4 linked regions of the Arabidopsis thaliana genome follow. The protein of the gene in region 1 interacts with the protein of each later gene in a pairwise test. Each region holds a gene or a part of one and is shown in the gene's direction. Other genes may lie near its edges.

Region 1 (6,950 bases):
ATCAAAATCTAATCACTAGGCTTTTTCCCATTAGCATTAGCGCATAACAAAGTTTTGAATATTAATATCATTATCCATAGGCAGCTTAGATTTTTTTTCCTTAGCATCAAATTAAACTCAAAACCGAACCAAACCGTAAATCCACAAACTAATTTTGGTTCGAATTTAAAAACATTATCTTTTAATTTTGTCATGCCCCCTCTGCTAAGTGCAACCATTCGTCTTCTCGCTTCATCGTTTTCTCTTTTCCGATGGCAAAAGCTTGCCTCTTGCAGTCTACTCTACTCCCAGCTTACTCTCCACTTCACAAACTTCGTAATCAAAACATCACCCTCTCTTTCTCACCGCTTCCGCTGTCCCGATGCCGTCCCGGAATCCACTGCTCAGTTTCGGCCGGTGAGACTACAATACAATCCATGGAGGAAGCTCCGAAGATATCATGGGGATGCGAGATTGATTCACTTGAGAACGCTACTTCTCTTCAGAACTGGCTCTCTGATTCAGGTCTCCCTCCGCAGAAAATGGCTATTGATAGAGTCGACATCGGTGAGCGAGGCCTCGTCGCTTCACAGAATCTCAGAAAAGGAGAGAAATTGCTCTTCGTTCCTCCTTCTCTCGTCATCAGTGCTGATTCCGTAAGTTCACACTCCTAATTTCACTCGGAATCAAAGAATCTAATCTTATATTCCTTGATCTCACTTGCAAGCAATCCCTCACCTCTTGTTCAGATCAATGCAAGGTTAAAGTATCTGGCTTTCATGAATGTGAATATCTAATATCGGAGATTGGGTTTTAGGAATGGACCAACGCAGAAGCTGGTGAAGTGATGAAACGTTATGATGTTCCAGATTGGCCTTTGCTCGCCACTTATCTTATAAGTGAAGCAAGTCTTCAGAAAAGCTCAAGATGGTTTAACTATATCTCAGCTCTTCCCCGACAACCTTACTCGCTTTTATACTGGTAAGTTTTGTACTTGTTTCTGTAGCTGAACTTTGGTCTCAGTTTCTTACTCCCTACAGCCTTTTTGTACTATTTCAGGACTCGGACAGAGCTTGATATGTACTTGGAAGCTTCTCAGATTCGAGAACGGGCAATTGAAAGAATCACCAATGTTGTTGGAACGTGAGATATTGTTCTTTCTTTCTTTCTTTCTCTCAACTGCTGGAAATCATTGATGCAGTCACTAGTACTTATTGTTTGTAGGCTAGGGGGTTGATGATTATGTCTTGCAAGACACTGCTCATGTCTTTTTCCTTTTTCTTTTCCTCAGTTATGAAGATCTAAGAAGCAGGATATTTTCCAAACACCCTCAACTTTTCCCTAAAGAGGTAACTGGTATACGCCCATTTTGCTACAGCTTACTATTTGGACATGTAATAAGATGCACTTCTGTAATTACAACTAGTGTTGGTTCTATTTTATTATCTGAGCTTAAATTTGTTTTGTCCACATGTATATGAGTGTGCTATTTCTTGGTTGCAGGTTTTCAATGATGAGACATTTAAGTGGTCTTTTGGAATCCTATTCTCACGGTTGGTAAGAACTACTGTATCATAAGCAATCATTATCTTGATAATTGATGTAAATCTAGATGTCTTGAATTTGAAACAACAGACTTGTTCTTTAATCTTAGCATGACTTTCTGCATAATATAGCTGTCTCCAACAATTTATTGTTTGAACAATGACCACTCACAACCAAAATATTGCATTATTTCGTTTCTCTTTCCTTCCGTGTGCTGCGTGCTTGTCTCTGCAATTCAGACTTAAGCTTCTCTAACACAGGTGCGGTTGCCTTCTATGGATGGAAGATTTGCCTTAGTTCCATGGGCAGATATGCTTAATCATAATTGTGAGGTACTTCTACTTATCTTTATGACCAATTAGCTCCTAGATTCTCCTAATCAGAAAGCATGATTGACTTATGGTAATCAATATTTCAAAATCTGCTTGGAAAGGTTGAGACGTTCCTGGATTATGATAAATCTTCAAAAGGAGTTGTCTTTACAACAGATCGACCATATCAACCAGGTGAGCAGGTAAATAAGATAAATTCATTCAGATAACCTGAGCGAGCATTGAAGTTTAATATAAGTCAGTGTATAACACAAAGAAGTCCCGTTTACACAGTTTGCCTTTTAGCGCTTCAGTAAGTCAGTCCAAAGTGGAACCAATGTTGTCTGAAGTCTCTGATATGTTTCAGTAACATGACATTGTGCAGGTTTTCATATCCTATGGGAATAAATCTAACGGAGAGCTATTGTTATCTTATGGGTTTGTTCCCAGAGAAGGAACCAATCCTAGTGATTCAGTAGAACTAGCATTATCACTTAGGAAAAACGATAAGTGTTACGAGGAAAAGCTGGATGCTTTAAAGAAACACGGATTATCGACGTATTCCATTCTCCACCATCCATGTTCCCCTCTCAAATTTGTAGATCTCTCTTGATTAACTTGAGTTTTGTTTTGATTGTTTGTGTTAACTTTTCTCTGGCAGACCTCAATGCTTTCCCGTAAGGATAACGGGTTGGCCAATGGAGCTAATGGCATATGCTTATCTTGTGGTGAGCCCTCCAGATATGAGAAACAACTTTGAAGAGGTTTGGCAACTCCATCTTGACCCTTTTTACCATCCAATTCTTCCCAAATTCATAATACATCTCTTATCAATTATTATCCATTTCAGATGGCGAAAGCTGCTTCAAATAAGACATCAACAAAGAATGATCTAAAATATCCTGAAATCGAGGAAGACGCATTGCAGTTCATACTGGACTCATGCGAAACAAGCATATCAAAGTACAGCCGATTTCTAAAGGTAAGTAACAAAACAGCTCATCTCTCTCTCTTTGTGGGAAAATTTTCACTCCATCTGCTTATAGTTTGCTTTGTCAATTATCTAATTGTAGGAAAGTGGATCAATGGATTTGGACATAACATCTCCAAAACAGTTGAACCGAAAAGCGTTTCTGAAACAGCTAGCTGTAGACTTGTCCACTAGTGAGCGCAGGATACTGTACCGTGCTCAATACGTAAGGAACAACTTTCTAGCCAATACGATAGATAAGAGTCTGTGGATCGATCCATGATATTGTGGAATCTGTGTTTTTTTTTTTGTTTTGTTTGGGTCAGATTCTGAGGAGGAGACTGAGAGATATCAGAAGTGGTGAGCTGAAGGCTCTACGGCTCTTCAGTGGACTTAGGAACTTCTTCAAGTGAATGTTGAATGAGGACATTTCAACAGCTTTAAGATGGATCAAAGGTAGGCCTCGTTGTGCTTCAACCAAAAATGTAGTTTTTTATTACAAAAAAATTGAACGTTGGTGTAGGCATGGTTGGATCTGTCTCACTCGTATAGGAATATATTGGTCCAGCCATATATGTAATTTGATCATTTTCTATAAACTCAAAACCTGAACCTAAATTGATTAATTAAGGAAACGCATGAGAGAGTAAGGGTAGAAACATGTTCTTCGTATTTGATCCGAATCGAACTGAAATAATCGATCCAACAAACAAAGATAATTTGAAAATTAAGAATATATCTGACTACAACTCATAACGAAAACCGTACCAAAACTCACACTCCTTGTTACCGCAAACAAGATAATCTGATGGTACACGTCAGAACATTTGTTTCTTTAGCAAAGCAAGTAAACATTCCACTGTGGCAAAGTAAAAAACGAGAAACCTATAAAGTCTTCCTAATGAAACGTACTGATTTTATGGAGTTTCCATTTTCGACATAATATGACGTGGCAATATCTAAATGGTTTAAAGATGTTTTATCTCCAATGATATAACGCCACGTAAGCCCGCTGACCAAATAACCCAAAGAGTAAGCAAGCGACGTCGTTTATAGTTTGATGATCTTGTCGGGTAACGAAACTGCCCCTTGAGTCAAAACAGGCTTCTTCGTGTCCGATTCTGAACGAGCTCGCTCTTTCTCATCCAATTCTCTCCACCGTCTTCTACTCCGATCAATCTTCAAATTTTCTTAACACTCATCGACCAGATCGAGTTTCCATCGATCTAATCAATCAATCATCAGATTTGATCTTCTCAAGAAGGTAAATCCCTCTCACTCTCTGTGTCAAACCTAATCACCTCGTAGGAATCGAAATTGGAACAATTCAATTTGGTTTGGTTTGGAATCTCTAGTCGATTCTTCTTCTAAACGATTGAATTGCGTTTTGTGCTTTGATATAATTCGAAATTATTGTGGCAGATGAGCTTGAAGGGTACGATCGTATTACTAGGGCTCTTATGGAGCTTCCAGGCTACGTTAGGGATTAGATTCGTGATAGACCGTGAAGAATGTTTCTCCCACAAGGCTGAATATGAAGGTGATACGCTTCATGTCTCTTTCGTCGTCATCAAGTCTGACTCTCAATGGCATTTTAACGAGGATGGTGTAGATCTTGTGGTATGACTTTTTTTCTTCTAATTGAACTTTTCTACATTCTACATTGCAAAATCGTCGAAAATCAATAGAATTGGTATTCCTAAACAATGCTTAGGATTTCCATTGTTAATGTTGGTAGATAATTTGAAGTATGTATTGATAAAGAATTTGGTTACTCTTTAAAGCTGTTATATTGTACCATCTGGTTAATTTGGTGGTTGTTGTTGTTGTTGATATATTTTGGATGCATTTTGAATAGATACATGGCCCAACAGGCGAACAAATTCATGACTTCAGGGAGCAGATAAGCGCAAAGCATGATTTTGTTGTCCAAAAAAAAGGGGTTTACAGATTCTGTTTCACAAACAAGTCTCCTTATCATGAAACCATTGACTTCGATGTACAGCTTGGTCACTTTGCATACTACGATCAACACGCAAAGGACGGTAAGGATTATCTGTTTAGTTTTGTTTCAGTTTCGTTTGGTGATGAGGTATTTAGCTGAAGATGGTTTTTGTGCAGAGCATTTCACTCCCTTGATGGAGCAAATATCAAAGTTAGAGGAGGCTCTTTACAACATCCAATTTGAACAACATTGGTTAGAAGCTCAGACCGATCGTCAAGCTATCGGTAACATTTTTTCCTCTAAAAACCACATTTGTTGTTCTCACTTCAATATTGAGTGATGGTTTGAATATGGTTGTTCCTTGTGCAGTGAACGAGAACATGAGCAAAAGAGCAGTACACAAAGCTTTGTTCGAGTCGTTTGCACTGATTGGGGCAAGTTTTCTCCAAGTTTATCTTCTGCGTCGCTTGTTTGAACGCAAACTCGGCATGTCTCGTGTCTAAAAGTATCGAGTTTATTATGACTTTGAACTTATTTTGCCTTAAAATGTACCAGGGAATCTTTACTTAAAACCTTTTTACAGACAGATCGTAGTTCATTGGAAGATTTGCTTTCTCCCATGTTCAAGAACTAATCCTCTCGTGATGATAATTCTTTTTTTTCTCTTTATTAACAGACAACTTTTCCACAAGCTAGGTTTTCATTTCAATAGAGAAAATAGTGATTCCTTAAAACCTTTTTTCCCTAAAACAAAGAGAATAACAATGTGATCAAGCTTTGAATAAGACGTGTCAAAAGTACTCAAAATCCCTTAACTGGATTCGAACTCTTATAGAGAAGGTTATAAAAGTGGACACTAGACTAAGTTAGTTGGGCCCAGAGTAGATAGATAAAGCCAGCTATCATTTTCTTAGTCGTCGTACAAGTTACCTGAAAATAAAATAAAAACACAAACTTTCCTGAAAAAGTCGTCTCCAGTTTTAAGCATTGATAAATCCGACAAGAAGTCCGATTTTGTTCCATAGCTTGCTTGTGTTTTTAGTGGATTGAGTCACTGAAAGAGAAATCATAAGGCTTTGTTGATGATGGATCATTTGGTGGAGACGAATTCAGTTCCGAGCAGATTGGTGGAAGAAAGGCTTGATGAGATTCGTAGAGTAATGGGTAAAGCTGATGACGACCCGTTAAGGATCGTTGGTGTAGGAGCTGGTGCTTGGGGAAGCGTTTTCATTGCAATGTTGCAGGAAAATTACGGTAAGTTTAGGGGCAAAGTTAGTGTGAGAATCTGGAGAAGAGGAGGCAGAGCAATCGATAAAGCCACAGCTGAACATTTGTTCGAAGTGATTAATTCGAGGGAAGAATTGTTGAGGAGGTTGATAAGAAGGTGTGCTTATCTCAAGTATGTGGAAGCTAGATTAGGGGATAGGGTTTTATATGCTGATGAGATATTGAAAGATGGGTTTTGCTTGAATATGATTGAGACTCCTTTGTGTCCTTTGAAAGTTGTGACTAATCTTCAAGAAGCTGTTTGGGATGCTGATATTGTCATCAATGGTTTACCATCAACTGAGACGTTTCAGGTGTTCAATGAGATTAGTAAGTATTGGAAAGAGAGGGTTAATGCTCCTGTTATTATCTCTTTGGCTAAAGGTGTGGAAGCAGAGTTTGAGCCTCATCCTCGGATTGTTACTCCTACGCAAATGATCCATCGAGCGAGTAAATTCACTTCCCATTGTCTTTTATCTGATTGCTAGATGAATATTTGATATCATCTTCCTTAGTATTTTTGTTGATGTAGAGAAACTTTCTATTTTTATTAAGGTTATATGAGTATTGACTGTGTTGGCGTTGAAGTGTATGATCAGTAGTTGTTGTCATTGGAAATTCTACAGTTTGCTTGTCATATTCTCTTTGCAGCTGGTATTCCTCTTGAGAACATTCTCTACCTTGGGGGACCTAATATTGCTTCCGAGGTATACAATAAAGAGTACGCCAATGCACGGATTTGCGGGTCTGAAAAATGGAGGAAGCCTTTGGGAAAGTTTCTAAGGCAGTCTCATTTCATAGTCTGGGATAATAGTGACCTCATTACTCATGAAGTAATGGGTGGCTTGAAGAATGTTTATGCCATTGGTGCAGGTAAGATCAGGTGTCTTAAATGGTTATCTGAATAATAGTGATTCAAAGTAAATTACTGGAA
Region 2 (8,294 bases), on another chromosome or scaffold:
CAGGCGATTTTAGCTTAAGACAGGACCAAGCTAAAGCTATTTTGTTAGCCTTTAAAGCTTCTTCTTCTTGGTCTAAAGCTTTTTTGTTTTTTGTTGTCATCTAACAGTGTTAACTTGTGGAAAGATGTTAAAGTTTCGAAATCATATCAAAACTTTAGACAGTTTCAATCCTTTGATAGGTTTCGATGTTTTGGGAATGTTTTTGAAGATGAGTTCGCACGTGAAGGCCTTGCAGGGCCAACAATGTCTTGTATTAAAATAGTATATCAACGTGGACTCGTCGAGTCTCTTTCTCTCACTGCTCCAAGATTAATTAGTTGTACAACTTTAATCGACAATTACAGCTATTTGGTTAAAAGATTTTAATAATAGACAGGTTTCTTCTTTCACCAGCAATATCCATTAGTTTCTTAACTTATCCGTTCCACCATGTGCGATGGTACCTTTTATCATTTATCGTATAAAAATTCGAAAGGGACGTAACCATCCATCAACTACGCAACCAATAAATTAAACAACCTACTACAACTAAAACAATAACCCTAAACAGCTTTCTCATGAAACAATTCATTTAATTTAGTCTTCACCATCATATATGTTTTAAAGTTATTTTGATGCACCAAAATAACACTAAGATCAACAAGATTTGTTTCTTGTTTTGAACTAACAAATCCAAAAATCAATTGTTTTTTTTTCTTCCCATGAGAGTTTCAATTAATTTATAATCCAACAATAGTTAAATCCAAAAACACACACAAAAACAAAAACTCCATTAATTAATGATACGGTAATTAAAGTTTACCAGCTCTTCACCGGCGTGCTTTTCCTCCTCGACCGTCTAGACGACGGCGGTGGAACCACTACCTTGACCGTCATCTCCGGCTTCTCCTCCTCCTCTAACTCTTCATGTTTCATCTTTTGCTCCTTTTCCATACTACCACTACTGCTCCTAACTTTCTTCTTCAGCTTCTCTCTGTTAATAACCACCTCAGCTTCTTCGTCTTCTTCTTCTTCGTCCTCGTACTCTTCGTAATCCTCGTCTTCCTCAGATTCTTCCTTCTTGAAATCTTCTGGGTTCTCAAGATTCTTCCTTGGCCTTCCTCTTCGTCTCCTTGTAGCCTGAGACTCCGTCGGAGATGAAGCTTCTGCTACTGACGACGTTTCCTTTGCTTTCTGAAACCTTCTCTTCCCCATCAGTTTACTTTATTCAACAGAATAATATTTTTCTTGAACAGCTTGTCTGATTTTTAATATCTTCAAGAGCAATAAAATTTTCTTTTATGTTTTACAGACAGAAACAAAAACAACAGTCTTTAAAAACCAAAAGCCGCCCATTTCTTTGGTGTTTAGATAAAATATCAGAAGAAAAAGTAGATTTTATTTTTGTCCGTTGGTTATCTCTTCTCTATTATCCACCAATATAATACAAGTATGACATATATATCCTTGGAGTTAGGGTTCATATACAGTCTACGTTCTAGACATTATAGAAGAAGTATATCTTTAAATCTAGTATGCAAGACTATTGCCACCACGGCACCACCTAACCACGACCCGGTTGGTAGCTACAATCTGTGTGTGAGGTTTGAGGTCTTGACATAAACTTCATTTCACAACAAACCCATAATGATGACATTCATATAAGATGAATTTATATAATTCGATACTAATTGAAAACCGACCTATATCGATCATGTGAGGTTCGAACCGTGACATTCTCTATACTGTTGAACAATGAATAGTTGAATTTTGAATACAATGAATAAGATCACAATGTGAGAGTGAGATCAATTAACAGAAAAACGGCACGATGTTCACTAATCCTTAAGAAATGGAGTAAATTTAAAAGCCCAATAAAGGCCCAATACTTACTGTTTAGAAAAACCAACAACAAAATGAGCGTCGTTTTAGATGAACACAACCGACGCGGTGTGTCTCGTAAACAGCGAATGGTTTTGTTTTGTTGGTAAAGGGATAAGATCACGTGATCAGAAAGTCAGAAGAGCCCATCTTCTTCTTCCTCTTGGTTCTTGCCTCTCTCTTCTCGTTGGATATCATAAAAAGACAATTCTATCGAGTTCCCATCACTATTCCCGATTTCTGATTTATTTTTCCCTTTCACTGTAGATCCTTTTTTCCGACTCACACACTTTCGATATTTTCTTTTGTTTTCTTCAAAAAAGACATATTTTTTTTGCTGGGACTATCAATTGGGGTCCGTCGCCACGCCACGCGCCGAGCTCGCAATATATCGAAAGCAACGATCTAGGAAGGATCTTAAAAATCCTACTTGGCCACAAATTTTTGCTATTTTTATTATTTTCCGTGTTTAATTTCTGATTCAGACAGGAAGATTAATATTAAGCACTAGTTGTGCAAATTCACAATTTTTTTTTGTGGATGGAAACAAATTTCTGGGTGAGCTTCCCTTTCCTTTTTTTTGCTTTCTTTCTCTCCTTTCTTCTCTCCGGATTTTTCTAGGTTTTCAATTTTTGTTTTACCTTCAAAGGTTGTTCCTTTGTGATATAAAAATATAGTTTTCACCTTCTTTCAATCTCTGCGGTTTCTAAATAGAACATTGGAGAGATTTGTTTCTGCATCTGTAAATTTTGATTTCTTTGACCATCTCTCTGTTTTTGTGGCAAGTGAGTAAAGTTTCAATCTTGACCTTTCTTTCTTTCTTTCATTAGTTATGATTTTTGCTTCTTTTATTGCCTTAAATTTCCCCATTTTGGGAATGAATGTTTCTCACGTTATTCTCATTGATTCCAATTTTTCTGCAGCACACGTATTCCAATCCAAATCGACAATATACGCGTCTCTGATGGATATGTTTTGGATTCAGTGAGAAACAGAGATTGATTTTGGTTTTCTTTAATCATGGTGGAGCCTTATGAGACACGTAACAACGGTGAAGCATCCCAGATGATCAGATATCAGAGTTATAACCATCACAATTCCAGACTACCATCTTCATTATCATCGCCATTGCTTGATTTGAGAGTGTTCTATGTCAGAATCAGTAATTTCAAGGTGGATCATTCGACACCTGAGGTTCTCACCATTACTCATATTCCTTTGGATCCAGATTCACTTCTGGAGATTAATGGTGTTAGAATGAGCATGTACTCTGAAGGAGTTTCTTCTCAGCTTAGGCGTGATCGTGTTGATAAGAAATCTGAAGTTGCTACTTTTATCAGCACGGATAATATCAGGTTATCTGGTAGTGTGAAGTTTGAGGTTTATGATAAAGATGAGCTGGTTTTGTCTGGAACGCTTGAGATGTCTGGTAGTAATGGTTTCACTGGTGAATCTAAGCATAGCGTGAAGCGGTGGAACATGAATTGTGAAGCTGAGATCACTGCAGAGTCTGGTTTCTTGAAGGAGAAACATATTGGTGGTTCGGAGTTATCTTCTCCATTGCCAACTATTGAAGTCTATGTCACTGGCTGCTTTTCTGGAACTCCTATCATCCTAACGAAGACTCTACAGCTTGGTTTCAGAAAGAAGCACGGTAGAGTGACTGCATTAGATTCGATTCCCGAGTATGAAACTGATGAGCCTCATAAAGGAAACTCATCTGAGCTTGATTATCAGGTAACTTTTAATTGCTTGGTACTTCATTTTTTCAAGATTATTATAATGCTTCCGAATAGTTTTATATTGATTGAATGCTTTGAATGCTTTTCCTAAGATATGAGTCTTCATGGTCACTATTGGCTGTATGAGCATTAAGTTTTTCATGGTTTTGAGATTTCATAGTTTGAGTCTTTGAGACATGTTTCTTGGTAGTTGGTACTCTAAGGAAGATAATTCCTTTAGATATTGAAGTGGACCAACTTCGTTATAAATGATCATGTGAGGTATGGGGCCAGCCACATTTTACAAGTCAATAGATAGCTCTCGCCCTCTCTCTCTCTATCTCTCACTCACACTCTCTCTCTCCCATTTGCCTCTTGTCTTGTGATCTTAATATCTGAATTCTTATCCTTTTGCCTGCTACAGTCAGTTCTAAGGTGACTTATTGGTTGGAATATCGTGGTTTTCACATGTAATGCTACAGTATATTATCTTTAATTTATGCATAGACTGATTTGGGAAACGTTGCCCTGTTTAAGAGTCAATGTTAAGAATAGCTTATGCTTGAAGTTTTAATTGGAGGCTCTTGCAGTTGACAGTGTCAATACCTATTGGAGATAGATCTTCATACTCACCGTAGATTATTTAACTATAGTGCAATGTCTATATCTTCGACCATTAGCCTCTATTCTACATTTGAAAGAGTTTATAAGATTGGAACAAAAAGACCATTAGCGTAATTGCATGACGATTGTATTCTTTCTCTGACTATCGCTATGAATGTCTCTTAATTATTTTTCTTTGTTAAGTATGGGAGTTAATTTCTGTGCAGGTTACTGAATATGGAAGTTATAAACAAGAATATGAAGGAGAACACAGCGACATGTACTGGAATAGAGAGTACGCAGATGGTGAAGATGGTGAGATGTCGTGGTTCAACGCTGGTGTGAGGGTTGGTGTGGGAATTGGTCTTGGTGTCTGTGTAGGTCTTGGCATTGGGGTTGGCCTTCTGGTGCGTACCTATCAATCGACCACCAGAAACTTCAGAAGGAGGATTATCTAGTTTCATTCAAATTGCCTCAAGCTTCATCTACTCTCTCCCTCTAACTCCAATCCGTTGCACATCACTTTTGACTGCAGAACTCTAAGCTATATAGTCTAAGCTAATACTGCTGTGTAGTATAATTTTTGTTTTATGTACTTTTTAATCTCTTTGTGCCTTCAAATTTTGAAAGAAATCATTTTCCCTTCTTCTTGTGTTTGGTGAGATTCAGATTGAAAGAAACAAAGCTTGTTGCTGGTAATGCGAATCTTGTTTTCTGCTTCCTGTAAATAAAATGCTTATGAGTGTAAAGAGTTTTTGGATTCGCTTACAAGCCTTGCAAGAGTTACTAATACACACAAACCCTCTTTATTTTAATCAAATGCTATGTCTAAATCATACAACCTCTCTACTTAGCATCAAGAGCTAAGGTTAGTCCATTTCAAAAGGGTTGGTTTTAATAATACATTGCCTTCAGAACCAGTCAAGGGTGGTTTTGGATTGGCTCAGGGGCAATCTCAGCTCCAGAAAACCCGTTGCTCGCGTGCAGCTGGTTATTGTTACTGTGACCCAATCCCCAAAAGTTAGCAGTTTTAACATCGTCTTGGTTCATTTGCTTGGAGAACTCTTCATAGTTATACTGCAACAAAGCTTTCCCTCCAAATTCGGTTGGGAGATTTTCCTCGTCGAAAAATGTGCTCATAAGCTCCACGCTTTCCGAGTTCTTTGGGTAAACAAACTTCACCTTGACGAATGTCTTTGCATCAATGAAGTACTTCACAATCTGTGGAACAACACATAATTAAAGAAAAAATGAAAATGCCATCATGTTCCTGCACATACAGACGAACAAAACACAAACAAAGTTGTCTTGTTGTCTAACTATGAGATAGAAGTATTGTTTTGTCTAACCTTCCAGAACGCCTCAAAGAGTCTTGGAGGATTATAGAGGAAAGCTACAGCTAGTCTCTCAGGGTAGTGATTTTGCAGAATATTAATAGTTTCTCTGGCAGATTTAATAGGCACACTAGTGCTCATTGACCAACCCGTGAAGTCAATAAGCCAAGACATCTGTTCTTGATCCTCTGGCAGATTCAGAATAGCATTCTCAATGAGATACACCAGATGTTTCATCTGGTTCTCCAACGATTTTGTGTTCTACAAAAGTTGTCAATGAAAATGGAAGTTTCAGCTTGTGACCTGAAGTTAACTCATTAACTAAGAAAAATGATGAATAGAAACCTGCAAGCCGGGTCTCAGTATAAGAACCGTTCTTCCATGCCTGTCATGGAATCCAGCTTTGTAAACCTTACCAGTCTCACCTTCACCTGAAACTTCATTCTAATAGAAACCAAGAATTATAAGTTTTGGTTGGATAGGAATTCTCTAAGATTTAGTAGCATGATGCAGTTATGATACATACCCATCGGATTTCCTCGGGTTTAAAACTCGATCTCCATTTGAGCGTCTCCTCGAGCATCTTCTTGGCTTTGCCTACATTCCAATTCCTAGCTTCCAGATATCTCTTCAGACATGCATCTGAACAATACAGTGAATTCCTTCCAGAAAGCTGACCTATGAGAGTCTTAAGCTCTTTCATCTATAATCATAAAAATCAGAAGGCATTATAGCTTCTACGAATCAACTAGGTAATTAAGTGAAATGAAAATCATCAACAAGGCCTTGAAATATTTGACCTTTGCCTCTCTGAGAGCTGCCTCTTTCTGCTCTTGTTCGGTTTGAGAAGAATTCTTCCAGCGAAACATTTTTGAAAATTGCACTTTGGGTCCAATGTATCAAAATCTCTTTACTCTGTGAAAATTAACTACAATGAACAAAAGCCATGTTAATAATTAGCCTAATACTAACAACGGCCGTTAAATCCAAAGCCAAGGTTCATGTGATGCGTGTGACAGGACATCACAGACCAAACATGACTCAACCACCTACTGCTTCATTCAACTGCTTACACAAAACCTCAGAAATTCAAAATCTAGTAAATTTTCAATTCCCAAACATATCGATCAACAAGATTTGCAAAGTTGTTCAAGATCTACTCAAATTTTGGAACACTAGACAAAGGAATTTCCTATAAACTCACTACAAACCCAGAAAGATTCATAATCTACCTACTTTTCTAGTCGTCAGATGTAAAATAAAAATCAAGAGTATGAAATCAAATGAAAGACCCAAACTTTAAAAAGAAGAACGAGGGTAGTACCGAAACAGAGAACGAGGAATAAAGAGAGAACTTTGCAGTGATGAGACAAGTCGGAGAAGAGTCAGCTGAAGAAAAGTTGAAACTGATTTCATGAAAAGAGTTGCGAGAAGAAAAGTAAAGACATTCACCTAACGCTTGCAGTTCAGACAAGTGGACAACAACAGAGACAGCGATTAAAATTATATTTTAAGGTAACTGAACGGTACGGCACGCCACGTGAGATTCACGTATACTTGATTCTGCATACTCCACGTGTCAATTGCCTTAGAGGCCATAGAATTTTGAAAGCAAGGCCCAAGGAATCAAAAATACATGTTTATTTCGAAATCTATCCAAGTCCAATTCACACATAAATATTGGTATGGCCACAATTATATGATTATTTAGAGCACCACTATTGGTGTATTTAGATGTATCTTTGGCTAATATCTAAAAAATAAATTTTGAAAAATAAATCAAAACAGATTAAAAACTAAGATTTGCTTCTTAGCTAAGAAGTTTTTATGAATGAAAAAAATACTAGATTCTTAAGTAAAACTAAAATTTTGAAAAAATTTTAAAAACTAAGATTTGCTTTTTAGTTTAAGTAATTGTTAAGATACAAGATTAAGAACCAATGGATTCTTAACCTTTGGGGACGGTCTTATACACTATGAGAAATATGCGATTACAACAAATGGAAGGTACGAAAGATAAACACAACTTACAATAGAAAACTAAATTATTACATTCCAAACTATCTCTTAACATTCAACTGGAGTTTGAAGAGAAACAATCTAAAGCGACATCTAAACCATGGCCATGAAGACACGCTGTGCACAACGATGAATCGAAAGAGTCGAAAACACCTTTCCTCCAAATCTTGAGAAGTACGACCCCTTTAAAATACTACAATCTGGCAAAACTCGAATGCAACTTATTTAACGACAATAAAAGTTGGAAGGAGGTGTTGCGACTTTCTTTTGTAGTTAACACGAGGATTCCTAAAGTTCTAAGTCAACAGTTTACAATGAAACCGACATGTCCCAATTTTCAGATAATTTCAAGAATTCCGCAATCTCCATTGTGTTATAGAAATGGTTGTCAAGTAATTGGAAGGATTGGTTGAAATTTTGATTGAAAAAAAGGTGTCATTCAACATAAAATCCTACCAATACCTGCAAATATTAAACTTCCGATCTTTTGATGGTTACTAATACATGATATAAAAAAACAGGTTCTTAATATTGATAGTAAGCTCAGAAGGTTGCACAATCATTTCAAAGATTGAATAATCTCATAAGTCCAGACATATATATTAGCAACATCATCATCGCAACCAAAGAGAAAATGTAATAAGATCAAATACTCAGAGAAGCTACATAGTAGCGATGGCAGACAATCTACACGGCATCAATTCAGACCGCCCGTCTGCTAATATCTCATCATTGTTTTGATAAACAACAACAACAA
Region 3 (7,664 bases), 370 kb from region 1:
GGGAGATGCGTTCTTTTGCTGAAGTGGAAATGAGAGAATATCAAGGGTATAAAAGACATGAGGAATTCTCTGAAATAGAGAAAAGACATCATTACATTCATGATTGGCATCTTGATAGATTTGTCTCAGAGGAAGATGGTTATAAGTATAGAATCCAAGATGGTTGGTCCTCACCGTCTTTATCTTTGAGAGATTCTTGGTATACCAAAGAAGCAAAAGGTGATTTCCGGAGAGATGATACCAGAGACTTCAGAACACCTGAAGCATATGACAGCCAGAATAACCATTTTCATAAGGCTGCACCGAGAGATGGCTGGACGCAGAATCTTGGTCGTAGCCATAATGTGAGCGTAAAAGATAGACTACAGTATGATGCTGATTGGGTTGGTCCTGATAGAGGAAGATATAATATGGCAGATGACATGCAATGTTCAATGAGAGAAGTTTCTAATTCTGAGCATCCATCATATACTGATGAGATATTTGTCCGCGACATAAGAGTACCGACACATAATCGGATGGCGACCAAACAAAGGTTTGGATATTTACAGAGCCATATTCATGAAAATGATGAAAGACATCACAGATCCAAGAAGCTGAGAGGAGATGGGCATGCTTTCATCAAGCGTCAGGATCATGTTGACTTAGCTGGTAGGCAAGGAAAGGTAAAGATTGGGAAACTAAATCTACATGCTTTTAAACCTATATTTGAATGAAGTATAAACGCCTTTCAGTTATTTATATCCCTGGATTTTCTTTGTGTTATTTCTGACTGTTTTATCACTTTATATGGTCTGTCTTCTATACTTAGGTTTTATGTTGCTCACATCCGTATATTTAGACATCAGTTAGTGTACAATGAAGAACAAGACCCTTCTCATGTGATAGATATTTTGTGTGTGTGTTTCAGGTCTCTAACCAATCAAAAAAAAGATTCTCCAATGGCGGAGATACAATCGAGCAACAAGATGTTCAGAAACCAAGAAAGTTAATGGGCAAAAGCGAAGAGAAAGCTATGCAGAATCGAGATATAAATGACAAAGAAGAAGGCGAGATAATAGAAGAAGTGAAAGGTGTTGAAATAGACAATGAACGTATACAAGAGAGTCTGAAAAAGATGGAGAAACGGAGGGAGAGGTTCAAGGGAACCAAATTGGCGGTAGAAGCGACATTCAAATCTCAAACTGAACTGAGAGCTAAAGCCGATGTTACTAATCAACAGAGGCCAGTTAGAAAGAGGAGATGGTGTGCAAGTTAAAAAGATCATATTGGATGGCTTGTTTCAGGTTAACACAATAACGGTTTATTGATGGTAGGCTATATCTAAACCGATCAATTAAAAAGTGGCTAAGAAAATCACAAAACCGAACAATTGACTGTGACCTGGGTTTTTTTAAGTGATCTTGCTTGTGCATTTTTTTTTTCCCTTTTGTAAGTGTTTACGTAGAAAATTTGACTTTTTTACCAATGCTTATTTATATTTACAGTTTAGTATGTGTAATGCAAAATCAAATGATGCAGCGAAGGATCAAACCAGTGACAATTAGGGCGGAAACCGTATGATTAACGTGATAACCACTAGACCATAGTAAAATTACTTTCTTTTGAATTTAGAATCATTTTCTTGGGTCAAATAGATAACCAGATAATTTCATGAGAAAACCAGACCGAACTATACGATTTTTCAAAAATGATCAACTTTTGTATTTTTGTTTGTGGAATAATATTCGTCGGATATTGGTGAGGTGGACTCGTAGCCGTCGGATAAACACGCGGCTGATCTGAAGCGTCTCTGCAAAAGAGAAAAGAGAGCAGAGAATTCAAACCAGTTTCCATCGACGCAACGACCAATCTCCACGATTCCTCTCTTCTCTCTAACTTCCAGGTACGTTTTTCGAGAACCCAATGAAGCAATCAAAGTCCTTGGAATTCATTTGATTTTACTTTCAGGTCTTTGGATTTCTATAGAAAGAAAGATCTGTTTATTATTTGATTGGAACATGATAAGCTGCTCCGTTTCTCATATCCACTTTTGTTCAATTTATTTCAATTTGATCGATAATTGGAAAAGTACTGGATCTGGTGTATCGGAAGTTACCGGTCAAGCTATGTATGAACCCTTGTGATATTTTCACATGCGTTTATTCATTCAAATATGCTAGATTTTTAATCTGGTCAATACGTGATATCAGGGTTTCTTCAGTTGGGTAACAACTTAATCTTATTGCAGTTTTGATTTTACCAACTTGAAATTGAATTATAGTCTTACAGATACGAATTTGGAGTTTTTGTGTAGTGTATACTTGTTTTCTGGATTGCTTGTCACTTACTGTTGATTTATGGTTTGCAGAGACAAGTTGTATCCCTCGTTTGCTTTCTGCGAAACTAAGGTGCAATGGCGAAGATAAAACCGCAGGCTCTTCTAAATCAAAGCAAGAAGAAGAAGGGTCCAAGTCGCATAAGTATTTCCACTATTATTGTCTGTAATCTTGTAGTTGCTGTAGTCATATTATCGTTGGTCACAACCTATCGCCATTGGTCCCAAAGGTTTGTTTTCATCTTTGAATTGTTCCTTTTTCATTACTTCTGTTATAGTAGATTCTCCTTTTACTTTATGTGATTATCTATAAACTAAAAAGGATATCATTGGTTATATCTCCTAGGTCAAGAAACACAATTGAACATGAAACTCGGAGTCAGAGATTTGAGGTATTTTCTTGAGAGATTTTTTAATGTATAGCTTTTGAGTTTTGATCCTGATGAACTTCCGAGCACTTAGGTTTAGAGTTTAGGGTATTTACCATATGTGATCTGGCTTTGGTTTCTGCTTCAGGACACTAATACTGCGTCAGGGCAAAAAACTTACGATCTTCCTGGTTTTGCTGTAAGTTAATCTCCCTGTTTGCTTGCTTAAGTTTCTTGTTTTAATCCTTGTTCTTATTTCTCATCATGGTATTATGTTCTGTTCATCAGTTTTTGAAGTAAAAAAAATGTGATGTGTCTTATCTGAATATTGATTTTAATGATATCTTGCTTCTATTTTCCTATCTCATGTAGGATATAAACACATCAAAAGGACTTATAACTGTCGAACTCTTCAAAGAAGGTTCCCCTGAAGTTGTGGACAAGTTTCTAGATCTATGGTTAGTATTGGAATTCGTTTGTTTTCCTTTAAGTTAGATAGAAAAAGAACAGTAGAGTAATTTGATTAAGCTAGGTCATGACTTGTTCTTAAATAGGAGTATTACTTCTAGCTTGATAGGATTCAAGTAGCTTTAGTTTCTTGATTGACTGATTTTGATCCTTAAGTCCTCTTGTACTCTTCTTGGAATTTTTGTTTGGAACATGAAACCTCATTAAAGAGAAATGGGCTGAATCAGTCTGTGACGATATTGTAGCTTAATATAATAGTAGAAGTTGAACATTGAGTATTGTTGCAGTCAAAAAGATCACTTCAAGGGAATGCCGTTTCAGCGGGTTATAAAGAACTACTTGGTACAAGCTGGTCACTCACCGAGCTCTATACCTGTAGAAGAATGGACAGCTAAAGGAAAGCTCAGAGGTCGCCTTCACATTGGGTATAACTTGCTTGCTCTGCTTTTGGCTTTTAAGTGTCAATGTTTATCATCTCTCGCTGGTTTTAAAAAATAAAAAACTACATATGTTCTGTTACAGCCCAAAACATGAGGCATTCATGTTGGGAACACCAAAAAACAAAGGGAACAACAAGGATTTTGAGCTTCTGATCACAACGGCCCCAATCCCGGATCTGAATGATCAACTTATAGTGTTTGGAAGAGTCCTTAAGGGAGAGGATGTAGTACAGGTTTGATCCAACTAAGCACAGTCTATCAGCTTGAATGGTTTGTTTAATAGTTTCATGTGTTAAAAGATTAAATCATATTATTACAGGAGATCGAAGAAGTGGATACGGATGAGCATTTCCAACCGAAATCGCCAATAGGGATCACTGGTGTTGTACTGAAACTAGAGACATGAAATGAAAATTTCTCTTCCTTGCTTCCTCTGTAAATGAGGCTCACGCCAAATCCTTCTTCATACTCGCTCTTTTGTATAAATCCTCTTTTGAGGTTTTTTCTTTCTTTCTATTTTACAGTTTCTTGTTGTTTTGTAATTTTATTTGATTTTTCTCGAGGAAATAGAATCTTTGTTTAATTATGCTTCTGATACTTGAGCAAATACATGAACTGATTTTAGAGAATTTTATCCTGTTATGATAGAAAAACTTCTGTATTATACCCGTTAAGTACCATAAAACTATTAGAGAAAAAGAGAGGTCTTTTAAAATTTATATGAGAAGATATGGAGAACAATCTGAAAAACCAGAAACAAATCCTTTAAGAATTCTTAAAAATCTCTACAAGATTTCTTTTAAAAACTCTAAAATAATTCTTAAACAATTCTTAAGGAATTCTTAAATTATTCATAGAATACAATTACAAAAATACTGTATTTTTGTTTTAGGTAATATTTAATAATTTGGAATAAGATATATAGGACATACATCAAATTATGTATTTTGATACTATTTTGACTAAAACTTAAAAATGTTAAAAACACATTTATAAATATGTTAATTAGTTGGTGTACTCTTATGTATTTTTTTCTAATTAAAGATAAATATCTAGAGTGTGTAGACAAAATCTATAATAATATAAGAGAAAAAAAAACAAATAACGCTTTAAAATTTCATATCGTAATCATTATCAATTTTGTAGAGTAGGAGATATTGTTATAATTCATTGTTTTTGAAAAGAGAAAATCTTCATAGTAATATTTGGCAACCGAAAGTTACAAACCATCGATCATCAAGAGGAAGATACAATCAATAAACCTGTACCAACCATCTGCTACATCTCTACCATATAAATCTATAACGACTAATACAAAATGAAAGTTCCAAATCGGTGTTGTTACTGTTGCCTTCTCATTTGCATAACTGCTAATTATCATTAGAGAGAAACATGAGAGAAGACGAAGCCTGCATATGACTAATGTTACTTTGGATCCCACAGCTTATTTTCTTAATCTTAGCCTCAAATTCCTTGAGTTCCTCAAGCGTAAGCTCCTCAATGGGCTTATTGAACTTATCCTGTTCAGCAGATTCAAGCCACTTGTGAAGATCTTCACCATGTTTCTTCTCAGCTTCAGCTTCTTCAGTAATCGAGTTGAGGCGTTTACATATCTTCTTCTCCTGTCTAGCTCTATTGCCTCTACTATAGCCTGATGTTTCACAGCTATCTCCTTCTTCTTCTTCTTCGAATTCATTCTTAAACCGTTCTGCAATCACATCAAAATTCGGTTTCCCGAAGGAATACGGTTTGTTTCCTGGAGAAAAGACAACAATACCAACCTCCGCGTTGCACAGAGTCGCAAGCTCGCTCGCTTTCTTGAACAAACCCAGCCTACGTTTTGAGAAGGTAACTTGCTTCGTGTTTGTGTCTTGCACTTTCTCCATCTTAATCTTTCTCCTACCCATTTCTTTTTTTTTGTGTGAAATGTTTTGAGTGATTGTAATCTATGTTTGTGTATATAAGAAGAAGATTGTATTTCTTTATGTATTTATAGTAATGAATGTGGAGAAAGTTGTTATTGAACCTCATCATCATATATGTATATTTTTAGTAAACTTTTGTTTTTGCATATATATACATATTTAGTAACTCCACTTTGAAAATCTTGCATTACCTTATGAGAGCATTGAATATTTTCCATGTATTTAATCAATATTCATAGATATTTAACTATTATTAGTATTATCTTACTATTAGACCTCTTATTAAATGGTAGTTTGAATTACAAGGAGAACTTTACCAAGTTAATAAACAAAATTTCTTCTTTACCAAAATAGTTTATTTCCACCCAACAAACAATAATAGTAGTTTGACAAATAATAAACACATATTAAAAAAATATTAACTTCTATGTATTATAGTAATAATCTTACGTGTCATATTTTTTTTTTAAATAGTATTATTTCTGGGTATAATTAATCATAAACATCTATGTACATTTAAAATTAAACCATTATTTATATTCAATAAAAATATAATCTGCAATGCGTTTAACCCATTAAGCCTTTTTTTTTGTTAGGTATAATTAAATCGAAACTCTATAAGTCTCTAAATCTATTACGTGGGTCAATTGACTTTTTGCAAAATTAGTTAGACTTCTATATATAAAAGTTGACTCTTGTCCACTAAGACAATTGACACCTGTAAAATTTTTATGGTATTGAACCCAATTAAATTTATTTTAAGTAAGTATGTTATATATAATGAAGTCCATTAATATAAATTATCTTAAATATCTTAATACTTGTTTGTCCATATCCTAAAAAAGTAAAAACGGTTTGGCTTCTTCTTTTTCGTTATTTCTTTTATTTTAGATCGTAGAGCTTTAAAATTAGAATTTCAGTAAAAACAAATTATGACTCCGATGGAGTAATTTTCTGGCTCTTACAGAGAGAACAAGCGTGGACTATTAATTGAAAAGCACAGAACAACCGCTGCTTATCTGTTCCATAACACAAAACAAACAAATAGATGTTATAAATGAAATTCAATCAATGAAAATTAATCACTCTATCTGTTTCAAAATATTATTATATGTCTTAGATAAAAGCACAAAGTTCAAGAATCTAACTAATTTTTTTGTTATATTTTTTACATTAAAAACATAACTTAATATTTAATTATAGATAATCTAGCCAATGGTGAAATTTAATGTAGAATATACATAGTCACAAATTTGAATGAATTTAATTTTTGTCATAGAAATCTAAATGTTTTTCTAAAATATCTTATCATATAAAACAGAGGGAGTAAATACATTAAGTTTTCAAGCCAAAAAAAAAAAAGAAAAAAAAAACTTACAAGGAGGTAGATATCAATTATGTAGATCAAAGAATAAGCCGTCCAAAGTCCAGCGTTGATGAAACTAACTAACGACAGCCAAAACGGCATGTACTTGAAGGTCTTACTCTCCAGCATTTTTTTCTAATTGTTGCACGAATTACAAACAAAAAAAACTAATCAAAACCGCTAATTAATACTTAACCATCAATGAGAGTGAGAGTGAGAGTGAGAGTGAAAGCTTTACCTTGGCAAATGAAACATAGATACAAATGTTGAAAATGTTGCAAACAATCCCAATGAGTGTATACTTGGCGAATAAACTTTGAATTGCCCAAATAGTAATCACATAGAACGATGTCACAAAATCAAACACAGCCAGAAGACATAGATTAACATTTCTCTTCTGCACATCAACATCAACATCATCAAAATCAATATGCAGAATTAGACATATCTAAGTATAAAAGATGGACCTACACGTGATTCGTCTTCACAGCAGATCCAAAAGACAACCACAAAGATTACTTCGTTAACGAAACCAATACTATTACTAGTGGTGACGAGAATACTGTCCTTGTGAACAACAGGGAGACCATACAAAACCCACAAACTACATTGAATCAACAGCACTAAATGAGGAGCAATTTGAACTCCCTCCACTGATTTCTTCTTGCATGTTTGTATAACCGTTGGCCTGTATATATATATAATGAAAAATGCTTTCACTCTTGACTACAATAATCCTTCTTCTTTTTTTTTTGGTCAGAAAACAACAAATTACTTATA
Region 4 (8,551 bases), on another chromosome or scaffold:
AAGTAATTAATCTACTGGCCGACTTAAACGTTCTAGAAAAGGCTGACACTAATTTGTTGTAAATCTATACTATTAATCAATATATGTTTGTGTTGCCAACAAAACATTTTTTCTATCACTTTTTCTCTCAGCATTCTGCACTATCGCAAATGAAGAACAGTTTTATCCGCTATCTATGAGTTGTAATATATTCTGATTTCTGACATTAAGACAAGTTTTGATTTTGAAAAATTAAAATCCAAAAAGTAAAATTTGAGTTTCCTTTGTCATTCGGTGTTTACGTATATACATATATTGCTTAAACGTTTTCTATTAGTGTTGTGAACCATACATATATATAGTTATATACTAGTAGTATCAGATAATTAAACTTTTTGGTTTAATATCAATTATATGAAGACAAAAATATAGATTTGATCGCAATCACATTTAAAGACGCAAATATTTATTTGCGATACCAAAAAACTAGGTGACATAGATATATGAAGCTGTGCTTAAGGACTTGTCTACGTAGCTATGCTCGGTCATTTCTTCAATGAAATTATGAAACCACCTAACTAAGTCCAGCCCTTTTTATTGACACGAACGAAATAATACCATTTTCATAATAAATAACAATCAATGAAACTAATAAATTCTAATAATATCGACAGTGGACACATTCACACCAATCTTCGATGCTCGATCCATCTTCCACCAAGTTACCAATTGATCTTTCGATTCTCATTAACTTTTACAATGAGTTGTTGTTAATTATATCTCAAATCTCTTCTGCTCATTTTTCGCCTATTCTTTTTGAATAACTCTTAACAACAAAATTTAATAATCTTAGCAATAATACTGACCGGTCAAAGTTTCACACAACACAACAATGACATAGAGAAATTGAATTCTTCTTTTATAATCTGATCATCATCTTGATTTAATATTTTACATAGAGAACTAAAATTTGGCCGGCTATACTCTCTCGAAGAGACTTTTGGATACAATCGTTATACGAGTTCATTAAATCCTGAGCTAGGTTTGATCCATTTCCCATGTTATTCGATTTAGGAACTAGAATCGCAACACGATATTGAAAGAACATACAATAGTTTATGAGTTCATGCACTTCAGAATAATGATACGCTACGTCTCAACCAATCTTATCGTCGGGAAATTCACTATCAAATCATCGCTGGATGGCACAGAAACACGAGCTTCCTACCAAGAGATCCTCTGTCTTATGCGGAGTCTCATACTTAAATCAAACCGATGAGATAACCTCCCAACACTCCAATTCAATTCAATTCCGGTTAAGTCTTCGTAAACCAAACCCATACTAGAAATCATGAAAATTCCGAAGAAAAATCATAAGATTAAATGATTAATAGATTACTATCTACAAGATATATGAAAAAAGAACATAAATAATTTACAGAATTACCACTCTTTCTGCTATTAGCTCAAAAGGCCGTCGTCCCCCATGTCAGTGGTTAGGTGAGCCATTTATTTTCATGAAAACTATAGAAAGAAAGTTATATTTATGTTTCATGAAAATAGAAGAAAATGGTTATTACTTTTTTTTTTTTTAGCAGGGAATTTGGTTTACAAAAGCGAAAGTAGAAAATATATATTAAAATATAAAATTATATCGAAGTGCATAGGAAGATGAAACTGTGATCAAGAACATACAAAACACAATGACGGTGGTTCTTCTGATACTACTAGTATTACTAAGTACATTCACATGGATGCCTGCGCCAAACTTACAAAATTCATTTTTTTGTTGGATACATCTCATATTGCCATTTAATACCTTGTTTTTTCACTTCTTTTTCCAATTCTTGACGATGACAAATGTTAGTTATACCTCTGGCCAAAAAGTTAGATAGATGAGTCATAAGTGACATAGTAAATAAACAAAAATATATAATTAAACTAAATATCTCAATAAGTATATCACGGAAAAAAGTAGGATTAAGGATTTGTAATAGTAAATTAGTGATATAAAGCGTTGAAATGAAAACAAAACAGATGGAAGTATCCAATAAAAACGTGGACTGGTAGGAATGAATTGTCAAAATTAAATCATATAACGTGTAGCTAGTATGGGTCCCCGTCGTGTCCTCCTATCCAGTCGTCGAAGGTGTCTGTCTTTAAAACATCGCCGATCGATAGTTATGAGTCTGAGTTTCTTCTGAGGAAACGGGACGTCGTTTGCGTAGTTTGTAACTATGAAATTGAAAATAGTAAAACACGAATACATAAAAGAAGCTAAAACATTTTTTTTATCATATCTATAATCTATAGTAGTAGTATTTCTATTACTCGGTTAAACGACACTTGAAAGTCGAAACTTTGATTTGTTTGAGGTTGTGTCAGAGAGAGAAAGGAAGAGAGAGTTCCGTCTCTTATTAGATGCTCATTTACTCCAAAGTCTGAAGTTTGATTTATTTGAGGATGGATGCATAGCATTTGCATGGATTAAATGATTGTTTTTGGCACGTGGAGTCGTGGACAACAACACCTCCACAATTCACCCTCCACAACTGTATATACGTATGTATTTTTACTACAGATTTGTATTTTTCTTTGTAATTTACAGCAACGAAATTCTTTGGGCGTAACTATTTTTCCACTAGGTGAAATAAAACTAGAGATTTTTTAACAGAAAGTAGTGATGTTTTTCTAAAATATATCGTTTTCCGTGTCTAACTTACATGATTACATCATTTTTGCATGATGTTTACATACATCATTTTTGCATATGAGTGATATTCATAAGCAACGAAACGCATAATTCATTAAAAGATGATCAATATCATAACATACATTTATCTCGAAATATAGTATAGATGTATCATGTACTATACAAAATAGAAGTTTCAATTTATATACTTTCCAAGTATAAATTAAAAAAGGGTTAATCATTCGCAATAATAAATTCGTAACTTGTTAATCTCTAATTGACGTGAAACTTCACTTAAAATTAATCAGAAGTAACACTTAGTATTTAAAAATTGCACGTTGTTAATTCCCTTAAACAAACAAAACGACGCTTTTACTTTCTAAAATGTTTCCACATATGAGTGTATATATACACTTTTCTATTACGTTGTCCCAATATACACGTCTAGACCTACTTAACCCTTTTCTTTTCTCTCTTCTCTCTTTCTCTTTCTCTTTCTCTCAGTCAGTATATATAGCCAAGCGTTGTAGTTTAAGTCGACCACATTCTCAAAGAGAGAGAGAAAAGATCATATCACACTTATTTTCTCTTGCCCTCTTTTCTTTTTCCTTTTGAATATTTCTGGGTTACTAATATTTAATTTGTTGGTTCTTCGGTTTCTCCGACTCTTTCCCCTTGAACCTAGCTTAACAGGTAAGTGAATCACCTCCATACATCAATAAATTCTTTAAGAAAATATGTACATATACATGCATATTTAGGGTGACTTATCCGTGAAGATTTTGTCAAGAGAAATTAAGCTTTTGGATTTAGGCTGAATTTAGGATATACTTAGCTTCTCTGATCACTCACTGGTGTTTAATATTTACATAGTAGTCTTGACGACCCTTTGTTTTTCTTAAACCTGGATGAAACTTTGAATTAAGCTCAAGTTATCTTTGTGGCATGTCTATTACAGTAGTAATAAGTTAAAATTCTACATGTATTTTTTATTTACTTAGAGAAAATCAAAGAGAGAGGAAAAATGAGTGGAGGTGGTGGAGAAATGGAAGAGAGACTGTTAAATGGGTCAGAGACAGAACAAAGGAGAGAGAGTCTCTACTTGAGAAAAAAGATTTGGAGTGAAGTAAGGAAGATGTGGAGAATAGCTTTACCATCAACTTTGTTCAGAGTTATGTCGTTTGGATGCGTAGTGGTGGCTCAAGCCTTCATTGGCCACTCCAGTGAAACGGGTCTCGCTGCTTATGCTCTCCTTCAAAGCACTTTCATTCGCTTCATCTACGGTATTATGGTACGATCCATCATATATTATATGTTAAAACAATAGTACTATAATTTTCGTCCAAAAAAAATTCATTACAAAAATAGATATTTTGTTCTCGCTAAAGACTTTTTGGTACTAATAGTAAAATGTTGTGGTTTCACACTGTTTTTAACATTTAAGCAGAAAGCTATATGAAAAAGTAATGAATGATTTTTTTTTCTTTCTGATATAATGTAATGAATGAGTGTTTATTGTATTTTCAACTCATAACCAATTATATGGTAGAGAATATGAATTGCATGGTAATATTATTATTACAGGCAGGTATGTCAAGTGCGACAGAGACGTTATGTGGACAAGCATACGGAGCAGAACAATACCACATGATGGGGATATACTTACAACGTTCTTGGATAGTAGATACCTTTATTGCAACTCTCTTCGTCCCTTTCATCGTCTTAGCGGGTCCCATTCTCCGGTTATTAGGCCAAAACGTTGTGATCTCCGAGACAGTAGACGAGATTTACCCATGGGTCATTCCTTATCTCTACAGCATCGTGTTCACCATGACAATGCAAATGTACCTCCAAGCGCAGATGAAAAACGCCATCATAGGCATTCTTTCGACCCTAGCCTTGGTCTTGGACATTGCGGCCACGTGGTGGTGCGTAAGCGTGATGGGGATGGGGATCCATGGTGCGCTTCTAGGGCTTAATATAAGCTCATGGTCGGTGGCCATAGCCGAGTTTGTATATGTGTTTGGAGGGTGGTGCCCGCATACTTGGACCGGCTTTAGCACTGCTGCTTTTCTTGATCTTATTCCCATGCTCAAGTTATCCATATCCTCCGGCTTCATGCTTTGGTAACTTGCTTTTATTTGTTAATTTTTTTCGCGGGATTAAAACATGATTATTAAGCGTGGACCACTACTAATAGGCTAATACAAATTTCTAATGACTCTTCTTTTGCTTCTCTTGTTTATTTATTGCCTCAAACAGCTTAGAGTACTGGTATATGAGCATCATTGTCTTGATGTCTGGATATGCAAAGGATGCGAATATCGCAATTTCCGCTTTCTCCATATGGTATTACTTAAATCCGAAGAAGTTTTTTTTTCCATATACATATGAAAACTAAATACTTAATTCAAAATTTGCAGCCAATATATCTACTCATGGGAGATGAACATATGCTTTGGCTTGATGGGTGCAGCATGGTTTGTAACTATATACGTACTCTCATTCACAGTATTTTGTTTTTGATGTATACATATATTATTTGTTTAATACTAAAGTGAATGTTTCTCTATCTATGAATCCGAAAATGTAGTGTACGAGTGGCGAATGAATTGGGAAAAGGCGATGCGGATGCGGTGAGATTCTCGATAAAAGTGGTGCTTGTGGTATCAGCGGTGATCGGTGTGATATGTTCCGCTCTTTGCCTAGCGTTTGGCGGTCAGATTTCGTATTTGTTCTCTGATAGCCAAGCAGTTTCGGATGCAGTAGCTGATCTCTCCATCGTCCTTAGCATATCTATACTCTTCAACATCATCCAGCCCATTCTATCTGGTTACAAAATAAAACCCTTATATTAGACATAAATAAATTATAACATAAACTTTTAGATTTCACTAATTTGTAACCACTAAATTTGTTTGAACATATATAAACAGGGGTAGCAATTGGAGCAGGGATGCAGAGTATGGTAGCATTAGTGAACTTAGCATCTTATTATGCAATTGGTGTTCCTTTAGGTGTCCTCCTTGTTTACGTTTTCAATTTTGGGATTAAGGTACATCATATATATGAAAACTGGTATCCAGTACTTCATTATGATCAATCATTAGAACTTTTAGAATTTTAACTTGAATAAATGATATTGTATGCAGGGACTCTGGTCCGGAATGTTGGCTGGAGTTGGTATCCAAACGTTGATATTGTGTTATGTTATTTACAAAACTGACTGGGAATTGGAGGTAATTTACTTTTAATATATAACTCAAAATTTTTATTAGAAAATTCGTCATATTAAATGTATAATTTTATCTAATTACAGGTTAAGAAGACAAACGAGCGTATGAAAACGTGGACTCTAAATTTACCTGCTGTACAATCGACTACTATCTCCACAAGAGATGAAGAGAGAAAGTGAACATACAACTAAGTTAATTTAAAGAAATCTTTTAAGAAATTCTTTATAAAAAAAGAAAGAATAATTTATGTTGTATTGTGGTTGTGTTTTGCATTCCCTAAGAATGAAGTATCGGTGTTGAGATTGCATTATTAGGTTAATGCAACTCTCATAACTTTGAAAAAGGTTAAGAAGGATGAACTTTTTCTTTTATCAGAGAAAAAGGTTGTTCTCTTGTTCTTCGGATATACTCTTTCTAAACAAAAAAAAAATTGTGGGAGGTTTGAAATTTTAACTTCTTTCTTGATTTTTTAATGGATGTATATTTTGTGTGTGGGGAAAAAAATTCCATTTGTTTGAGTGCTTGTAATCGTGAATTTTTACAAAAAAAATATTCTCATATATATTTCGAGGAAACGTTACAAACTTTCATAAGCTCACCATCAAATAAAATACTCATTTATTTATGTTGAAGTCAAAACGTTCCATTTTTCCCCCTATTTATGAACCGATCCTAATGAATGTTTTTTTTCTTCCTTTTTACTTCTTTCATATCACCATTTTAAATAATAATAGTAATTATTATTTTTCTAACGTTTAAACAAAAAAAGAACTGCAAATTTTATAGTAACAATTCAAATTTAACAAAGCGATCAAAACATGCATCATTTAGTGTACAAGTACTAATCACAAAGAAACAAGTTTTGGTTGGACAAAGTATAGAACAAACACACTAAACTGAAGAAAATAGAACTTTAGCCCACCAAAAGTTGAGGCTAAAACTCGAGCAGTAATCACATAGTTACTATCAAGATAACTATACTTTGGAATGAAAGAATCTGAATCTCGATGAAGTTTATCTTGGAGAAGGACTTTCTTTTCTGTTGGTTTGGATGAGATATTGCTGAAAATTATTGATGATGATGTTAGGAGATCCAACTAAGTTGTCTGCCTTTGCAGTGCACTTGGAGACTTGGAGTGAGAATCTTAGTTTATGAGACTTATTTTCTGATTTTTCAATCTCCTTTGATTTTTTTTTAAGTTGTAATAATGTCCTAGTTGATTTCCTTGTAAAAGGAGCAAGAGCACGATGTTCTTTTATTTCTAATTTAAAGAAAATGTTTTCAGTTTAATATATTTTTCGATTTAATTTACCTTCACATATTTTCTTCAGTAGTATTTATTATTTTCATATTAGTAATTAGAAATAATCTCTTCTAATTAGATTATAAACGTTAAGAATTTGCTGTATTCAACTTTTCCTATTGTGATATTAAAAAAAAAAAAAAAAAAGAGAATCCAAAAAAGTGAAAAAACTGGTCTTTGAGGTCAGGTCAGGTCTTCTTCCTGCAAAAACAAAAACCTCAGAAATAGAGAAAAAGTTTCAATCTTTCTTCATCTTCTTCCTCCAAAATCCTTGATTTCTAAAAAGGAGAAGAAGAGAAGAGAACGCGATTACCTTGATTCACCCTCCTCCTTCAGGTTTGGGAGGCTCGAATACTCAGGAAATGAAAGGGGCAAGTGGTGCTGTTAAGAAGAAACCCCAGGTGTTGAACGAAGCTGGTGAGGCGGAGACGGCGGTGGAAACAGTCGGAGAAAGCCGGAAAATTAGTGGAGACGGTGGGTTTGGCAGTGACGACGGCGGAGGGGGAGGTGGAGGTGGAAGTGGAGAGTCGATTCTTCGCGAGATTGGTGATGATAGGCCTACGGAGGATGGAGATGAAGAAGAAGAAGAGGACGAGGATGAAGATGATGGAGGTGATGAGGAAGATGAAGAAGGAGAAGGAGAAGGTGGGCAAGAGGAAAGGCCAAAGCTTGATGAAGGGTTTTATGAAATTGAAGCTATTCGTCGTAAGAGAGTTCGAAAAGTAAGCTCCTTTTTTCGTCTTCACTCAGCAAATGTGGTTTGTTTTTGTTAACCATAATTAGTTGAGGTTTTAGGTTTTCTAGGTTTAAGATAAGTATCAAACGTAGGTTACACATTGGTGTGAGAAAGTGGCTGCTTTAGTAGTTAGTAATCATCGTAACAGAGTAGTTTATAACGAACCAAAGTTTTGATTCTGTGGTTGTTATATGTTGTAGGAAGAAAATGATCTTTAATGTTTGATATCTTCTTGGATTTGATTGATTGAATGATTCTGATTCTGCATTTTGGTACTGTTTTTTTTTTTGTATTTGTAGGGCAAGGTTCAGTATCTAATTAAATGGTGAGTTTTTCTAATCTTACTTGGTTTCATTTTTAAGTTTGTTGTTCTTGATTAAACATATGTTTTTCCATTGACATAAGTTATAAACTCGGTTGTGAAAGGCGCGGATGGCCTGAAACTGCCAACACATGGGAGCCTTTAGAGAATCTCCAGTCTATTGCTGATGTTATAGATGCCTTTGAGGGAAGGTAAGTAAATGGAATCTTATATAAAAGTTTTGTGATACTTTTGAATTGATTGTTTCATGGATTTTCTTGGTTTAATGTATGGATTTGCTTT

Evidence for each region.
Region 2: the proteins of p24beta2 (region 1) and AT1G75180 interact in a protein complementation assay, tested with the Arabidopsis thaliana proteins (one large-scale study listed by BioGRID).
Region 3: the proteins of p24beta2 (region 1) and AT3G66654 interact in a protein complementation assay, tested with the Arabidopsis thaliana proteins (one large-scale study listed by BioGRID).
Region 4: the proteins of p24beta2 (region 1) and AT5G17700 interact in a protein complementation assay, tested with the Arabidopsis thaliana proteins (one large-scale study listed by BioGRID).

Annotation. Positions count from the first base shown.
Region 1 is NC_003074.8:2,451,400-2,458,349, forward strand, and holds p24beta2 (emp24/gp25L/p24 family/GOLD family protein), read left to right. Parts: upstream 1-3,839; 5' UTR 3,840-4,069; intron 4,070-4,227; coding exon 4,228-4,425; intron 4,426-4,663; coding exon 4,664-4,850; intron 4,851-4,926; coding exon 4,927-5,034; intron 5,035-5,119; coding exon 5,120-5,253; 3' UTR 5,254-5,519; downstream 5,520-6,950. Other genes in the region: AT3G07670 (Rubisco methyltransferase family protein), read left to right, coding at 252-635, 797-960, 1,039-1,122, 1,271-1,328, 1,483-1,536, 1,785-1,856, 1,958-2,038, 2,221-2,393 and 4 more; AT3G07690 (6-phosphogluconate dehydrogenase family protein), read left to right, coding at 5,833-6,466, 6,668-6,889. UniProt on the Arabidopsis thaliana protein: Involved in vesicular protein trafficking. Mainly functions in the early secretory pathway but also in post-Golgi membranes.
Region 2 is NC_003070.9:28,212,498-28,220,791, reverse strand, and holds AT1G75180 (Erythronate-4-phosphate dehydrogenase family protein), read left to right. Parts: upstream 1-1,990; 5' UTR 1,991-2,418; intron 2,419-2,461; exon of another isoform or gene 2,462-2,645; intron 2,646-2,783; 5' UTR 2,784-2,880; coding exon 2,881-3,597; coding exon of another isoform or gene 3,598-3,693; exon of another isoform or gene 3,694-4,005; coding exon of another isoform or gene 4,006-4,020; exon of another isoform or gene 4,021-4,411; coding exon 4,412-4,642; 3' UTR 4,643-4,956; downstream 4,957-8,294. Other genes in the region: AT1G75190 (uncharacterized protein), read right to left, coding at 799-1,194; AT1G75170 (Sec14p-like phosphatidylinositol transfer family protein), read right to left, coding at 5,106-5,405, 5,534-5,779, 5,864-5,962, 6,045-6,221, 6,319-6,387.
Region 3 is NC_003074.8:2,086,299-2,093,962, forward strand, and holds AT3G66654 (Cyclophilin-like peptidyl-prolyl cis-trans isomerase family protein), read left to right. Parts: upstream 1-1,617; 5' UTR 1,618-1,885; exon of another isoform or gene 1,886-2,350; 5' UTR 2,351-2,395; coding exon 2,396-2,547; intron 2,548-2,663; coding exon 2,664-2,709; intron 2,710-2,833; coding exon 2,834-2,884; intron 2,885-3,057; coding exon 3,058-3,143; intron 3,144-3,440; coding exon 3,441-3,578; intron 3,579-3,675; coding exon 3,676-3,826; intron 3,827-3,912; coding exon 3,913-3,999; 3' UTR 4,000-4,243; downstream 4,244-7,664. Other genes in the region: AT3G66652 (fip1 motif-containing protein), read left to right, coding at 1-665, 911-1,258; AGL91 (AGAMOUS-like 91), read right to left, coding at 4,964-5,500. UniProt on the Arabidopsis thaliana protein: PPIases accelerate the folding of proteins. It catalyzes the cis-trans isomerization of proline imidic peptide bonds in oligopeptides.
Region 4 is NC_003076.8:5,828,560-5,837,110, reverse strand, and holds AT5G17700 (MATE efflux family protein), read left to right. Parts: upstream 1-3,120; 5' UTR 3,121-3,364; exon of another isoform or gene 3,365-3,672; 5' UTR 3,673-3,695; coding exon 3,696-3,962; intron 3,963-4,255; coding exon 4,256-4,797; intron 4,798-4,933; coding exon 4,934-5,020; intron 5,021-5,094; coding exon 5,095-5,151; intron 5,152-5,264; coding exon 5,265-5,503; coding exon of another isoform or gene 5,504-5,529; exon of another isoform or gene 5,530-5,607; coding exon 5,608-5,726; intron 5,727-5,823; coding exon 5,824-5,910; intron 5,911-5,990; coding exon 5,991-6,086; 3' UTR 6,087-6,541; downstream 6,542-8,551. Other genes in the region: TFL2 (uncharacterized protein), read left to right, coding at 7,574-7,933, 8,247-8,272, 8,353-8,460.